2 linked regions of the Arabidopsis thaliana genome follow. The protein of the gene in region 1 interacts with the protein of each later gene in a pairwise test. Each region holds a gene or a part of one and is shown in the gene's direction. Other genes may lie near its edges.

Region 1 (9,098 bases):
TTGAACTTCTTTTTACCATTGACAAATTTTAATAGTTACAACCATGTCATTGCTTTATTTAACAATTTTAAAAAGGAAATCTAAAATGTACATAAACCTTTAGCTAATTTACAAATATATCATATTCTTAATGCATCTACAACAACCATATTATGAACTCTAAATACTAGGATTTGTAACCGGATTCGGTTTATTTGGACTACAAAGAGTAAAAATGGACTTTGTCCATCTCATCTAGCCAATGTTTTATAAGATTCTATATTGGGTGCATCATGCATGTGTCTCTCTTGCTCACACCCTACATCTACCCATCGTTTCAGCCACAATTATGTATATATTTTTTTGTCTTCAACATTTTAGCTCATATGCACCAAATTTTCATGAAAATGTTTGTTTATCAATCATATTCATCATGTGTTGTTAGCCATTAATTTCGATGAGATTGCAAATCTTGAAAAAAAAAATGGAATTATGTGGGGGAAAAAGTAAAGAATGGCACATGAAGAGAGTTTTGCGTAATTCCCAAAAGTAAAGCCAGAAAGATTTTTCTCCCACCCCATGTGCTTACTCTCCCCAGTCCCCACTTTTTCTTAATTAAATTCATATTTCTTCCATTTTTATTTTTCGGCTTTTAATTTCTTAGCATACTTTTAAAAAAAAAATATTGTCACACTTTTTAGGCCGATTTTGACTGAGTTACACAGGTCAATAATGCTCCCAATTCGGCGGACTATAGTTATTTTAGTGGACATTTGTGTTAACTAATTTTGTGGCAAAAAGAAACTCGGAACAAATTAAACCATAACTGATTTAGACTAAATTATATAATGTAATGGCCATTATGTATTAACTAAAGACAAAAGTAATACTACGATCTACGATAATACAAAAAAAAAATTCAGAATATCGCGTCATTATCAACTTGACACCAACTTGTGAGTCTCCCAAACTCAATGATTATGTGGTCATTATCGGTGGTGTTTTTAAAAAATACTATGAAAACTCGCTCTCACTAATATCAAGTGGCTTACACACTTGATTGACTAATCAATAGTTTATCACTACTACTATAATGTTTCAGGCTAGATTTTCCATCACGTGCCAAAAAATTCCTTCAAACAATTTAGCAAGCTAACCATCAAATTTAATTACGAATTTTTTTCTTTCATATCCACGTGGCGGATATTCAAACTTAATTATGTGTAACATATGAATGACGTAAATAATCTATGCACATCTCGTTTTACTGTTGTGTGTTGCTTTAAAGGCTATCATGGATAACGTGTGTATATGACCTTCGAGAAAATTTTGAAGAGATCCATTCAACAAAACATGCATGACATTTTGAATATATCCCAATTATTAAAGACTCAATAATTTTCAGAAGTATATTTTGGGTATAAACAGGTAACCGTACGTGTTGCTACACTTGCTATTGTCCATCTATAATGTGAAAAATATCAATTTAAACATTACTGTTTTTATGTAGTTTTTAGTTCATGTAGTATTTGATTATCTGGAGAAGAAGAAAAAAAGATGATAAATAAAAAAATTGTCGGCAATAGAAAACTGAGTTTAGGTCAAAATAGTTATGTACTATAGTTATTACCGACGTAAACACTGATAAATTGAAAACGATGCATCACTGGTTTTTGACAAAATGTCGAATTAGAACAAACATGACTCAGTGTATTAGAAAGTCAAAATATACACATTTCCTCTTGAATAGTAGTATTAGCTTGATAACTTTGTTTATCTTAATGAAATCGTATTAAAGAAGTTTAGTGCCGAGATTAAATCTCGAGTCCTATCACTCTATCAGGCACTAGAATATATAATGTCCCACTAAATTCGATAACAAATTATCTTTAAAGTTAAAGTATCTTTATAATTGTTTTTATATATGGATCACGGGACTACAAGAAAAAAAGTAGACGTGACAATTATCTTTTCTGTGTTTTTTTCTCGTTATCTCTAGTTTTGTTTGATGCGTATGTATATAATTTGGACAATACTATAATAAAGTATGCTTAATAAGATTCTCCAATCGTTTTTATATTATTCTTAATATAAAATCAAAAGAGATTGATGATTTCAAATGATGCCTACAAAGAATAACATCCGTGTCGTTAATAGAATTCACAAGGAATTTATATATTCTAATGTACATTCGACTTGAAATCAAAATCATATGGACATTAAACAAAAAAAAAAAAACTAGAAAAGGATTAAAAAGAGTAAAGTAAAATTTTGATGGTTCGAAATTAGACCAAAGCGTATGAAACATCATCTTTTGAGTACCATATATTTTGCAACTTCAACTAATTAAGAGTGTAGTATAAGCTGGGAGTTTTGGAACTCAAACATCATAATCCATTCCATCATCTCTAAACTTGGGAAAAAATCCCACAGCTACCGTATTATATTTGGGAAATCGTATAAACCAAAATAAGAAAGTTGTTAATTTTTTTTAACTATAATTAACCCGACACTTAGAAATGTGTATCAAAAAAGTAATGCAAGAATTATCATTGACAAGTTTCAACAACAGAATTATTGAAAGATTTACTTTATTTGAACAAATCTCACTATTAACTTTGTTTTTGTCAAGCCTCTAGAGATAGGTTAAAACTTTAACAAACTTTACTTAACAAGAAAAGACTATGACTTTTCAAAATGCAATAAAAATACTTTAAAGAAGAAAAGATTCCTCTCGTCTCTTCCTTTGTTCACATCACTTTCATCTTTATTTTCTTTATTAATTAATCATTTATTACTCCTCTTTCAAAAACAAACATTTTTTATTTATAAAAAATTCATACGGCGCTAATTTCACCACCGCTCTTCCTAATTGATTCTTCAAAATCCATGATTACTATTGACCCCCAAACAAAAATAATATAAATCTGATACTATTTGGTTAGCTTTAAGCATATAATTCTCATCTATAACTCCAATCACCAAATCAAGAACCGCCTTTAGTTAATAAATTGTTCATTAATTTTGCTAACAACAATATTTGTCCACATTACACGTTCCATTCATAAAAAAATTGACTCCAATATTAATTGTATTTTTTTACACCTCGAGTTTTGCAGAAAAATAAATAAAAGCTCACATTTTTATTTTCTCCCTCTCTCTCTCTCTGTGTCTGTGTATGTGTGGCTTTACCTTTTGTACCTAAACCTCTCACACTCTCTCTCTCTGGCTTGCTGTTTACTCTCATCGTCTCCTTTACTTCATTCGTCTTCTTCCTCTCTTTCCCACAAGCTCCCATTGATGTGAGTTTCTTATCACTTTTCTTTTTCCGATTTGTCAATTCCTTTTTTGCACTGATTTGTGCTTCGCTTACACATTGCTAGTAGATTCCCCGATCTGGGTTTTTTCTTATTCGTGTTCATCATACTAAAGTTTGGTGCTTTTTTGTGTTTGTGTAGATAGAGAGAGAGATTTAAGGAAGGAATCATGGCAGGGGGTGGAGCTCCAGCACCCAAAGCAGACGAACCACAACCACATCCTCCTAAAGATCAACTTCCCAACATTTCTTATTGCATCACCAGTCCTCCTCCTTGGCGTGAGACCTTCTTCCTACTTGTTTTCTGATTCTAAGTTTTGAAATTAAAGCTCTTTGATTTTTATTTCGAGGTTTTTCCGGCTTTATCTGTCGGTGGTGTGTGTAGATGTTAGGTTTTTTTCTCTTTATTCGGCTTTGTTCTTCTTAACAATGTCTCGACCTGAGATTTACTCTTGTTTTACTCGTTTAGACCTTTATTTTTAGTAAGATTTGTATTCCCAGTTTGCTTTTAAGCTGGAGATTTTCTTTCCTAATTTGTTGCATCTGTGGCAAATTTGTGGTTTTCTTCTGTTGTTAACTAATCTCTGGGTGGGATGCTTGTGAACCGAATATAAGCTTTGTTTGATGTACCAGTTTTTTACAATGTCGGAAACCATTATCTCTTACATATGTTCAATCACATTAGTCTGTGCTTCTATCTTCTTTTGAAACATACAATTTTTGGTGTTTGCAATGAGTTCCTTTGGAATTCTGCAGTTTTTCATAAAGACTTACATTTTTCATGCTTGTGTTTCAGCTGAAGCTATTCTTCTTGGATTCCAACATTACCTTGTGATGCTTGGGACAACGGTGCTCATACCTACTGCTCTTGTTCCCCAGATGGGAGGTGGATATGTAAGGCCTCAACGATTTAACTTGTAGTAAAGAGGAAGATGAATCAAATGATGTCAGTGACTGAAAATGATTTTGATTTTCTATTGTTCTAATTTCAGGAAGAGAAGGCAAAGGTGATCCAGACTATTCTCTTTGTTGCTGGCATCAACACATTGCTCCAAACACTGTTCGGTACTAGATTGCCTGCTGTTGTTGGAGCTTCCTACACATTCGTGCCAACAACGATATCCATAATCCTCTCTGGCAGATTCAGTGATACCTCGAACCCTATAGATGTATGATTACTTCCTGCTTTATCATTGTGAAATGGGAATTTTTTCTTTCTTTGATTTCATCTCTATGGCCCTTACTTGGTGCTATTATGACAACAAAGAATATGTTTAAATTGCTTTGTTTAGCGCTTTGAGAGGATAATGCGGGCAACCCAAGGCGCCTTGATTGTTGCTTCTACCCTGCAGATGATTCTTGGTTTCAGTGGTCTCTGGCGTAATGTTGTTAGGTTAGTCTCGAGGAAAAAATGGTCTCAGACATTCGATTTGCTTACACAGCAATAGATTTCTCAGACATGTCTTCAGAATTACAATGACGATGTGGTGATGTAATTTCTTTTGTATTTCATTTTCAGGTTCTTAAGTCCTATTTCAGCTGTTCCACTGGTGGGTCTCGTTGGTTTTGGGCTGTATGAGTTTGGTTTCCCGGGGGTAAGTCTACTCTATATGAGCACTTACGAGCAGACCAGAAACTCTTATTTCTTTTAGTTGTTGATATCCTTTTTACATTTTAGGTTGCTAAATGCATAGAGATTGGACTGCCTGAGCTTCTTATTCTAGTATTCGTTTCACAGGTAATCTTTTTAACTTACTTACAGATTAATCCTGTCTAACTCCCAAAATCTTTTTTTTTTTTTTAACTTACCTGATTTCATGTGTTCATGTTTCCTGTTACAGTACCTGCCTCATGTGATCAAATCAGGGAAAAATGTGTTTGACCGATTTGCTGTGATATTCGCGGTGGTGATTGTGTGGATCTATGCTCATCTTCTTACAGTTGGTGGGGCCTACAATGGTGCTGCACCAACTACTCAAACAAGTTGCCGGACAGATCGTGCTGGAATCATAGGTGCTGCCCCATGGTAAGTGGTTACAACAAAGCTCAAAATATGTAGCTCCCAAAATACCATTTCCACTAAAAATTTCCAGTTTAAACAGAACAAAAGAACATGAACGAATAGAGTATCAGAAGATAAATGTGATCTCATTGGATTCGTTGTTAACATTAGTTTCTTTGTACTTAGGATAAGAGTTCCATGGCCTTTCCAGTGGGGTGCCCCATCGTTTGATGCTGGAGAAGCTTTTGCAATGATGATGGCTTCTTTTGTTGCTCTAGTTGAGGTCTGTGGTTATCTTCTTCACATTTTAATCTTTCAAAATATAATGATTATGCTCTGTTGTTCTGTTTATTCATTTTGGTTTCTTGTTTATTCTGTGTCTGGCTGATCTTTAAAGTCAACCGGTGCTTTTGTCGCGGTGTCAAGATACGCAAGTGCAACGATGTTGCCACCTTCTATTCTCAGCCGCGGTATTGGCTGGCAGGTAACTCAGCTATACTTGAAGTTATAATGTTGCTGAATCGATATTGAAAGAATTCTGAGGTGATTATGTTTTGTTTTGTGAATCAGGGAGTTGCGATTCTGATATCAGGATTGTTTGGTACTGGTGCTGGTTCCTCTGTCTCTGTGTAAGCATCTCTGAGATTTACATGTTCTGATTTGATTACTTTCTCTGGATATTTTGGTATGAAAGTTGATTTTTCTCTCTTTTGTGCAGAGAAAATGCCGGACTATTGGCCTTGACACGAGTTGGTAGTCGAAGGGTTGTCCAGATAGCTGCAGGCTTCATGATATTCTTCTCTATTCTCGGTTAGTTTTGTTCTATTCTGTTTTTAACAAATAAAAGGAATTACTTTTGTTTGAAATTTTATCTGTACTGATGAGATCCATCCTGTTAATGCAGGAAAATTTGGAGCTGTGTTTGCTTCAATTCCTGCGCCCATCATTGCTGCTTTATACTGTCTCTTCTTCGCATACGTGGGAGCTGGAGGTTTGAGTTTCCTTCAATTCTGCAACTTAAACAGCTTCAGGACCAAGTTCATCTTAGGTTTCTCTGTCTTCCTGGGCTTGTCCATCCCTCAATACTTCAATGAGTACACCGCAATCAAAGGATATGGTCCGGTCCACACTGGGGCTCGTTGGGTATGTAGAACCAAGTCACTGTTATTTTTGCTTCTCTTTCCATTGAAATAGGTTTATGGTAGAATGATCTATTAAGGTCCCTAAAACTCCATAGCAAAGATTCGAGTTTAGCATGGCCTGAACTAATGAAACAATCTTATTCTCTTACATATTTGACAGTTCAACGATATGGTAAATGTCCCGTTCTCCTCAGAGCCTTTTGTTGCTGGAAGCGTCGCCTTCTTCTTGGACAACACACTGCACAAGAAAGACTCTTCGATAAGGAAAGACAGAGGGAAGCATTGGTGGGACAAGTTTAGATCTTTCAAAGGTGACACAAGAAGTGAAGAATTCTACTCTCTACCTTTCAATCTCAACAAGTACTTCCCATCTGTCTAAAAGGGAAGAGAAGAGCAAAAAAGATAACTGGAAAACAAAGAAAATGGTGAAAACTCGAGTTTCGCCATTGTTGACTTGGCCTCTGTGTCGTGGTTCGTTTGTTCAGTTCCTTTCACAACTTTGGAAACTTTAAATATCTCATCACATTCTATAGTCTTATTTACAAGAATGATGAATCTTCTTAAAGAGCATTGTTGTTTACTCTCTCTCTAATGCTTTTGTCTTTGTAAATCCGAGGGAACAGAAACACTACTTTGTGATTTTGATTAGTTTCTAAACAAATCTTTAGCTTAATTTTTCTTTTTATATGTTTCTCACTCCAAAGTCTTGATTTAGAAGCTTAGGAAACCTGATTGGTTGAACTTTAACGAGAATTGACATATAACATTTAATTTCAATAGATAATTACAATTAATTAGTTGTTTTTTCTTATTAATTTGGTCATATGTGTAGAGAAAAAAAAGGGAAAAATGGTCATATAAAATAGAGCGACCTTTCACTCTTGCGTGAGGTTTTTGTTCTCTGATCAATAAAATAGTATAGAGAGACATTAATAAGGCAACTTTTGTATGTTATCATCTAAATTAATGGACACGCAAAAGTTAAGATTACTTTGTTTTGTAAGGCAGATCGATTTAATTCCGTAATTAAGTAAGTTTGTTGAATAATTAACGATTAATACGACACAGGCTTTCAGGAGATCGAGATAAAGTGTACAGTAAGCATGTGAATAAGGTTGATTGCACGAGGGGAATATTATTCTTACTTCATTTTTGGTTGTCATTTTCCTTATTTTAATTTCCACAAAAAGCTCATCATTGCTTAAGAAAAATATGATTTATAAAGTTGCTTTTTATTTAGTTGACAAAAAAAAAATTTGTTTGTTTATTATTCTGCAACTATTGATCTTTACGTATTGAATTGAAAATTTGAATGTTTAAATTATATAACTACAAATGTGTTTTTGATCATTTTTATATTATAAATTATAAACAGCTGCTACATTCTATAATTTGTTAGTTGTAGTATTTACTTAAAACAATACAACTATACTAGGAGAAAAATGAACACAGAACATAAAGTAGGAAATTGGATGAAAGTATTATCTAAATTGTGGTCCAATAGTTTGTGGATACTTTAACTTTAGATGTATGAAGACTATAGACTTTTCCTAGAGATTTATATATAGGTGGTGTATATATACACTGATTTACACATATTAAGTTATGTGTATATCTAAAAAAGATAGTGACTAATTTCTGAAGTAGAGATTTACTATGAATTTCTTCAGAGGTTGAACCTAAGCTAAATGATATAGCATGAACAAGAATTTAAATGTTAATAAATAGATTCGTAGTATCAAAGGCTTAAAGATTTAACTATTATTTTTGCTTGGAATCTACTTTTCGTGAAAGATTCCAGCCAAGCAAACACTTGGGGCTCTGTACGGACACTCTAAAACATAATAATCATTTAAGCAATTACGATCATTATTCTATCTCTTCTTTCTTGTTTGTTTGTTAAATGTTAAACCATTTATCGAATAATGGAGATACATATATAAATAAAACCTCTTCCACACCACTTTTTTTTTTTCCATAGAAACGAAAAATAGTTGATGATGACAAAATGAAATAATAACATGAAAACTTATACTTATAGTTATTGTATAGAAATAAAATGATGAGTATATATAATGAGTAGAGAAACTATTAAATCAGTATAGACCCCTCACCTACGCTTTACTCTTTCACTCCTCTCTCTCCTGCTTTGCTCCGCCGTGAGAGGAGAAACAAATGGGGAATTGTCAAGCGGCGGAGGCGGCAACGACGGTGATACAACAACCAGACGGTAAATCGGTTAGATTTTACTGTACAGTAAACGCGAGCGAAGTGATTAAGTCCCATCCCGGTCACCACGTGGCTCTCCTCCTCTCTTCCGCCGTACCTCACGGTGGCTCTCTCCGCGTCACTCGTATAAAGCTTCTTCGTCCTTCTGATAACCTCTTGCTCGGTCATGTTTATAGACTCATCTCCTCCGAAGGTATATAATATATTAATCACAATTCACACAGAACATGTTTCAGTTTTAAATTCAGGAAAGAACAGAACCCTAACTTATAGGGTTTTCTTCAATTTGTTTCTTCTGCTTCACGTTTGATTACAATCATCATATACGAAGTGTATAAAATTTACAAATCAGAACTAAAAGCTTTAATTTTCAGGATTCTTATCAATTTATTTGTTCTGCTTCACTTTTTGATGTTAAGTCAGTCTTTCT
Region 2 (7,757 bases), on another chromosome or scaffold:
TACTCCGAGTCACGATTTTGTATAGCCAGATGGAAAAACAGCTTAATGTCACCTTATCATCACCAGAGGAGGCTTATTACCCGAACAAGCCTCTTCTTTCATTGAACCAAGATCTATCACCCTATATTTTGGAGAACATGTATGTGGGCTTCTCAGCCTCAACGGGGTCTGTTAGAGCAATGCATTACATGTTGAGTTGGTTTGTACATGGCGGCGTTGATGTTCCAAACCTGGACTTGGGAATACCAACATTTCCTCCATATCCCAAGGAAAAATCTCTGGTTTATCGGATTGTTTTGGTGACCAGCTTGGCATTGGTTCTCTTTGTTGCGCTTGTTGCATCAGCTTTAAGTATCTTTTTCTACAGGAGACATAAAAAGGTTAAAGAGGTTCTAGAGGAATGGGAGATCCAATGTGGGCCTCATAGGTTTGCTTACAAAGAACTCTTTAAAGCCACAAAAGGTTTCAAACAACTTCTAGGCAAAGGAGGGTTTGGTCAGGTCTTTAAGGGTACACTTCCAGGTTCTGATGCAGAGATTGCCGTTAAACGAATTTCACATGATTCAAAACAAGGAATGCAGGAATTCTTGGCTGAGATATCGACAATTGGTCGGCTTAGACACCAGAACCTAGTCAGGCTTCAGGGTTATTGTAGGTACAAGGAGGAACTCTACTTGGTTTATGACTTTATGCCCAATGGAAGTCTTGACAAGTACCTCTACCACAGAGCGAATCAAGAGCAACTCACTTGGAATCAACGTTTCAAGATCATCAAAGACATAGCCTCTGCACTCTGCTATTTGCATCATGAATGGGTACAAGTTGTAATTCATCGAGACATCAAGCCGGCAAATGTCCTGATTGACCACCAAATGAATGCAAGGCTCGGGGATTTTGGGTTGGCTAAGTTGTACGATCAGGGTTATGATCCTCAGACATCTAGAGTTGCTGGGACATTCTGGTACATTGCACCGGAGCTCATAAGAAGCGGAAGAGCAACCACAGGGACAGACGTCTATGCCTTCGGGCTGTTTATGCTAGAAGTCTCTTGCGGTAGGAGGCTGATAGAGCGAAGAACAGCCTCCGACGAGGTCGTCCTAGCTGAATGGACATTAAAGTGCTGGGAAAACGGAGATATTCTCGAGGCAGTCAATGATGGAATCCGTCACGAAGACAATAGAGAACAGCTCGAGCTTGTTTTGAAATTGGGAGTGTTGTGTTCGCACCAGGCTGTAGCAATTAGGCCAGACATGTCTAAGGTGGTCCAGATCTTGGGTGGTGATCTGCAGCTTCCAGATAATCTACTCGATATAGTCAAAGCAGAGAAGGTCAGAATGTGGTCTGAGACATCTGAGAGTGTACTTGGTGTTTTGACATCACAAGGGTCCATTGGTACCTTGACGTTAACGGAACCTTTTACCTCCCGGGGACGCTGAGACGTGATGCTGAGTTCGGTCGTGAAATGATATATGACATGTTTGTTTGTAAATATTTTATGTTTTCGATTGATGACAAAGGAGTCAGAAAGGACACTTGACCATCACGGAAGCGATGACTTCCGTCGGACGGTAAAAAGTGATGGTCGAGGTTTGGTGAGAAATCTAAAAATGTGACGGTGTTTGCTTGATAAATATCTTTATTTTGGTGATTGTATTGAATGTATCGTTTTGATTTCTGTTTATACTTATATCGGCGGTGGAATAATTACACATGACCTGAAAAGTATGCGTTTGTGTTTACTTTTATGTTGTAGTACTTGTTGTGTTTTTCAGCTATGAAAAGTCTACATATTTCTTCTGTGTGCTAACTTATTGGATAAATTGGATATTTTTAAGAGATCTAATGTTTACACAAACGTATGGTGAACACCAATGGGGATGTTTACACACACTTATGATTTATGACTGAAAGAGATGTTAATCGAAGTATATACTCCATTGATTAATGTTAATCACCGAAAGAGATGTTAAACAAGCATTAATGTTTACACTTAAATGTGATGGAACGAAAACAAAGAATAAGTTTAAATTTGTTGTCATGGTCTCAATGAAAAACCGAAAACGTTGTGCTATCAAATTACTCAAAACGTTGAGCTAGCTAAACTTGGCAGAAAAGTATCGAATGATGCTAAAATGCAAAAAACCATTAAACCCAATGTACGGTTTATAGAGTTTTCATATGCCAAGTGGGACATCCACGTGGAGATCCTATGCCACTTGTCCCCTCTCTGTCTCTTTCATGCTTCAAACTTATTTGGCTTTTACGTGGATTCTCACGCCCGAGTACGTCGATTATTACAAAACTCACATAAATTAATATAAACACTTTATATTTTGTTTTGACCTTTTTACCCCTTCTCATTGCTCATCAATTTTCATAGATCTAATACCAAATTATCACACATATAGGAGAGTCATCTAACAATTAGCACAAGTCATGAGTGAAAGAGACTAAGCATGAATCATAATCATCTTTGACATAGGTGCTCAAAAGTAATCAATTTTTTCAACTTTACTATTCAACTCAATAAAAGAATTTTTAATCAACAATTCTTTTCAAGATGTATCCCTTTTTTTTCTTGCAACTTTTTCTCAACTATATTAATATTTAGTATACTGCTACTTAGCTACTCGATGTTTTGATGTATCATTGATCATTATTGTTGACTAATAATTATTTGATACAAATATTTTACCGACATATGTAAGAACAATAGTGTCAAAATTGAAGCATCTCAAGGGTATTTTAGAACAGATACCCAATTTATTTATTTTTATAATTTGTCACCTTGTTTTTCACACACAAATGACAATATGACGTCATTTTCCTTATTAGAATAATTTTTTTAACAAAAAAAAGAATTATTTATTTTCGTCTCTCTTATTGCTTGCTACGCTCAACGCTGTGCATAAGCATTCTCTTTCTGTGGACGAAACTAAACCTGAGAGAAAAAGCCAGAAGAACCAAACTCAGACCGAGAGATAGAGATTGAGGGAGAGCTCTAGCTCTGTAGAAAAGAAGGATTCATTCATCATATCCAGAAATGGCTCTAAAGTTTAACCCTTTGGTGGCATCTCAGCCTTACAAATTCCCTTCCTCGACTCGTCCGCCAACTCCTTCTTTCAGATCTCCCAAGTTCCTCTGCCTCGCTTCTTCTTCTCCGGCTCTCAGCTCCGGCCCCAAGTCAGTCTCTTTCTCTCCATCATCGTCTCTCTTATCTACTTTCGATTCTCTCTGTTTCATCTTTGTTTACTGTGTTCTGGGTTTTGCTTGTTCTTATCGATATTGGATCTACGTTTTCTCGATTTTGTTCAGTGTTATTTGCTTACATTTGCTTAATCTCGAGTGTGATTTCAATAAAAGTACGTTCTTTTAATCTGGGTTTATAAGAATGGGCCATCCTCTGTTCTCAGGTGATTCATTAATGCTCTTTTTCATTGAATCTGATGTTTGTTGATTGTTCCCTATTATTCTCACGTTTCTCTGAGATTGCCCCATCTATCAAATCGTTGCCTTTACCATATTTATTCTGCATCAGATTATGTAGATTGCTCGTTGATTGGTTGTTAGTTAAGATTAACACTAGTTATCTTCTTTATGGTATAATGATCTTTAGATTGGTTAAGACTTAACAGACATTGAGGAAAGCTTCTTAGTCAAAGAGAAAGTTTTGTTTTGTTTTCTCTGGTTTAGTAATTTTTAATGGTGAAATGTTTATCCACTTGTTTCTTACTCATTTGATGAGTTTTCTCTTTTGTATTGACAAGAGATTCTTGAACGTATCAGTTTACGTCTGTTTATCTTTCTTCAAAGACATTACGTTGGATATCACGCTTCGTGGCCTTTCTCTATGCATGCGTACTTCGTGGCTTCTCTCTTTAGTTTGCGTCCAAAATTTTCACACTTTTCTGTAATTTATTATTCATTCTTTCTCTGTTTTGAAGACATTTGGCTCTTTATCTTGTCTTTGTCTGATCAGTAGTCACTACATTTGTTTCTTTCACAATCTTTCTTTTTTGCTTCATATTGAACTGCAAGACCAATCCATGAATGCAAATATAAAATATTGTCTTACGGTTAACCATCTCTAAGTGTTTGCTAGTCATGAATTGTGAAATTGTTTCGCTTCAAACATAGAATTAGTTGATTTGGAAATGTAGACATGAATGCTTATCTAAATACAATAAACTGTGTTCTTGTTTCAGTTGTGTATCAGAGATGAGACCTTGACTGGTAATTTCAATGGAGCATAATTAAATGCTAATGATACTTATTTTCTGGTTAATGCAGGGAGGTTGAGAGTTTGAAGAAACCATTTACGCCACCCAGGGAAGTGCATGTTCAAGTCTTGCACTCCATGCCACCTCAAAAGATCGAGATCTTCAAATCTATGGAAAACTGGGCCGAGGAGAACCTTCTGATTCACCTCAAGGATGTGGAGAAGTCTTGGCAACCCCAGGATTTCTTGCCTGACCCTGCATCAGATGGGTTTGAAGATCAGGTAAGAGAGTTAAGAGAGAGGGCTAGAGAGCTCCCTGATGATTACTTTGTTGTTTTGGTGGGGGACATGATCACAGAAGAAGCACTTCCGACCTATCAAACTATGTTGAACACTTTGGATGGAGTTAGGGATGAAACAGGTGCTAGTCCTACTTCATGGGCTATTTGGACCAGAGCTTGGACTGCAGAAGAAAACCGACATGGCGATCTTCTGAATAAATACCTTTACTTGTCTGGTCGTGTTGACATGAGGCAGATCGAAAAGACCATTCAGTACTTGATTGGATCTGGAATGGTGAGATAGTTTCAGGCAATTATCATGATTTCTTGGTTAATATAACTACCTAATCGCTTTAACTTATCTTTCATAGGATCCGCGGACAGAGAATAACCCCTACCTTGGCTTCATCTATACGTCATTCCAAGAAAGAGCGACATTCATCTCTCACGGAAACACAGCCCGCCAAGCCAAAGAGCACGGGGACATCAAACTAGCCCAAATATGTGGCACAATAGCTGCAGACGAGAAGCGTCATGAAACAGCATACACCAAGATAGTTGAAAAGCTCTTTGAGATTGATCCTGATGGTACTGTCATGGCTTTTGCAGACATGATGAGAAAGAAAATCTCAATGCCTGCTCACTTGATGTATGATGGGCGCAACGACAACCTCTTTGACAACTTCTCTTCCGTGGCTCAGAGGCTCGGTGTTTACACCGCCAAAGACTATGCAGACATTCTTGAGTTTCTGGTTGGTAGGTGGAAAATCCAGGACTTAACCGGGCTTTCAGGTGAAGGAAACAAAGCACAAGACTATTTATGCGGGTTGGCTCCAAGGATCAAGAGATTGGATGAGAGAGCTCAAGCAAGAGCCAAGAAAGGACCCAAGATTCCTTTCAGTTGGATACACGACAGAGAAGTGCAGCTCTAAAAGGACAAAGACAAAAACAAAAACCTATCCTCCCGGTTCCTCATTTCATCTGTCTGCTCTTAAAATTGGTGTAGATTACTATGGTTTTCTGATAATGTTGGTGGGTCTAGTTACAAAGTTGAGATGCAGTGATTTAGTAGCTTTGTTTTTCCCAGTCACTATATGTTTGGTCTTTGGTCCGTTAGCACACTTGTAGTAGTTAAAACAGTTTAAGTATGGTCTGTACTCAGTCTTCCTCTTCTCTGTGGAGTTTTGTTTAAGTTCAGGTTAGTTTTGTTTTGTCTCTCTGTTTTTTCCCCTGTTTCTCGACAAACAACTCATGTGGCTTTTTAGCAATTTTGATGGATGATCATGATGAATAATTGAATATCTTCAATGTCAGTTTACATTTAACTAATTGGTCAATGTTTGACGATCATGCTTAATGCTTATCTCTATAAATTAATGTAAAGTCAATAATAATGAAACCCTTGACAAAAAAAAAGTGAGAAGTTGATAGATTTTGAAAGAAGAAACAGAGACGGCTGTTGAGGTAACTTCATGCTTGAGCCAGACTAAAGGAGATGATAATGTTCGTAAATGGGCCCAATTTAAAAGAGGCTAGGCCCAAATAAGGTAGTGTTTCAGAGATGGGAGGCGGTTGAAGCTACCTATGAGAACTTGGGGAAGGAGTAAAAAAATGTTCTCTTTTTCAGTCTTTTTTTGTCTAATTTTTTTGCAAGTAAAGATTCCAAACTTTTTCGAGTGAATCATTGTGAGAGCAAAGTTGAACTAATAAATCAACTCGCCGGGAAAAAATGGATCAAACGGCGGAGGAGAAGATGGTGAGAGAGAGGATTAGAAAGAAAGTTAACGAAGTCAGTTCTGCGTCGCAGTCTCTTCTTTCTCCAGTACAAGACCACATCAATTTCACCCTTCAAGTTCGTCTCTTTCTCTCTCTCTCTCTCAAACAAAAAAAAAAGTTTTTGAAAATTTTGATGTCTTCTTTCTAAAATTGAAGAAACAAAGTGGATTTTTCACAGCTCCCTAGACTCAGTTTTCTTTCTCCTAGTTGCTAAATTCCTAAAGTTATGTTCTCTGTGTATACTCTTCGAAGAAGCCATTGGATATGTACTTGGACTTAGTTTGCTTACTGCGTAGTTTGAGATTTATATAAGAGTTAGTTATTTTTGTGCTTTTGTGTTGATGCAGAAGGCATATTTCAAATGTGCATACGAGTGCTTTGATAGGACAAGAACACACGCTGAGATTAGTCGATGTGCAGAGAGTTGCAGTGTTCCTATCACAAATGCACAGAACTACTTTGATAATGAGATGTCGGTGTTCCAAGTGAGTCTATTTCTCAACTTTATTTCCAGTTACAATTTGAGATTGATACAGCAAAATTTACAAATGCCCATGAACGTTGGAAAATTGGTGATTGAAGTCTTAAAGTCTTTTTCTTGTTCTATTAGAGGTTGATGGATGATTAGTGATTGGTCTGAAACTTTTGTTTTTCAAATGTGTTATTATGAAGATAGTTTAGTTTGTTGTCTCCTGGATTCTCTATTACATGACAACAGCGCTTGGGTTTGAGTACTAGATATTCAAGATGGTGTTTTGGTTTTACTGATGAATGTAGGAGAGGTTGAATAGATCTCTTGTGGTTTGTCAAGACAAGTTTGAGGTTGCTAAGCAACAGAAGACGAGAAGTGAAGCGGTAAATGATTTGGAGCATTGTGTAAACCAAACTGTTGATGAAGCTGTGAAGACTCTGCCTAATCTCGTCTCAAGAATGAAGAAAGCTTTGTCAATCACAGACTGAGCTCTCCAACGATTATAAAGAGGGACTCTTTTCTGATACTTAGAATTTATGTTTCATTGATCTCATATATAAAGGTGAAAGTTGTGACCCAAGGATTTCTCCCTTGACTTTTTTTTAATAAAAAAACAGAGGATTTCCGCAAGCCGTTTCTGGTCCTCAAACTTTGATACTCGTTGCCGCTTTGATTCTTTATACCAAACAAACTGCTTAGTTTGGCGCTTTGGCTGGTTACAAAGATACCAAAAATAATCGAACCACTAAAAGAAGACACTACTACATGTTAATAGTCACAATAACATCAAATAAAATAAAATTATGCAAAGAACTTGAAACGAAAAAAATTAATAAAATTGAAACATCTTACGTAATTGAAAAGATGGAGTATTATTAAGAGTTGTAACTAAAATAAGACAAAAAAAATGTGTCATTCCTCCATCGATGCGGCTTTAATTTAATTTAAAGAACAAAAAAGCTATGTCAAAGGACAAGAGCTAGATATCGTTCAAGACTAGCATTTAATC

Evidence for each region.
Region 2: the proteins of AT5G62890 (region 1) and SSI2 interact in a protein complementation assay, tested with the Arabidopsis thaliana proteins (one large-scale study listed by BioGRID).

Annotation. Positions count from the first base shown.
Region 1 is NC_003076.8:25,240,258-25,249,355, forward strand, and holds AT5G62890 (Xanthine/uracil permease family protein), read left to right. Parts: upstream 1-2,890; 5' UTR 2,891-3,281; exon of another isoform or gene 3,282-3,437; 5' UTR 3,438-3,465; coding exon 3,466-3,574; intron 3,575-4,091; coding exon 4,092-4,189; intron 4,190-4,287; coding exon 4,288-4,464; intron 4,465-4,587; coding exon 4,588-4,688; intron 4,689-4,814; coding exon 4,815-4,890; intron 4,891-4,973; coding exon 4,974-5,033; intron 5,034-5,136; coding exon 5,137-5,321; intron 5,322-5,483; coding exon 5,484-5,580; intron 5,581-5,694; coding exon 5,695-5,781; intron 5,782-5,867; coding exon 5,868-5,926; intron 5,927-6,015; coding exon 6,016-6,107; intron 6,108-6,201; coding exon 6,202-6,440; coding exon of another isoform or gene 6,441-6,491; exon of another isoform or gene 6,492-6,599; coding exon 6,600-6,818; 3' UTR 6,819-7,120; downstream 7,121-9,098. Other genes in the region: AT5G62900 (basic-leucine zipper transcription factor K), read left to right, coding at 8,615-8,861.
Region 2 is NC_003071.7:18,117,064-18,124,820, forward strand, and holds SSI2 (Plant stearoyl-acyl-carrier-protein desaturase family protein), read left to right. Parts: upstream 1-2,809; 5' UTR 2,810-3,043; coding exon 3,044-3,183; coding exon of another isoform or gene 3,184-3,187; intron 3,188-4,290; coding exon 4,291-4,795; intron 4,796-4,871; coding exon 4,872-5,432; 3' UTR 5,433-5,826; downstream 5,827-7,757. Other genes in the region: AT2G43700 (Concanavalin A-like lectin protein kinase family protein), read left to right, coding at 1-1,436; AT2G43720 (FAM136A-like protein (DUF842)), read left to right, coding at 6,230-6,352, 6,624-6,761, 7,054-7,236.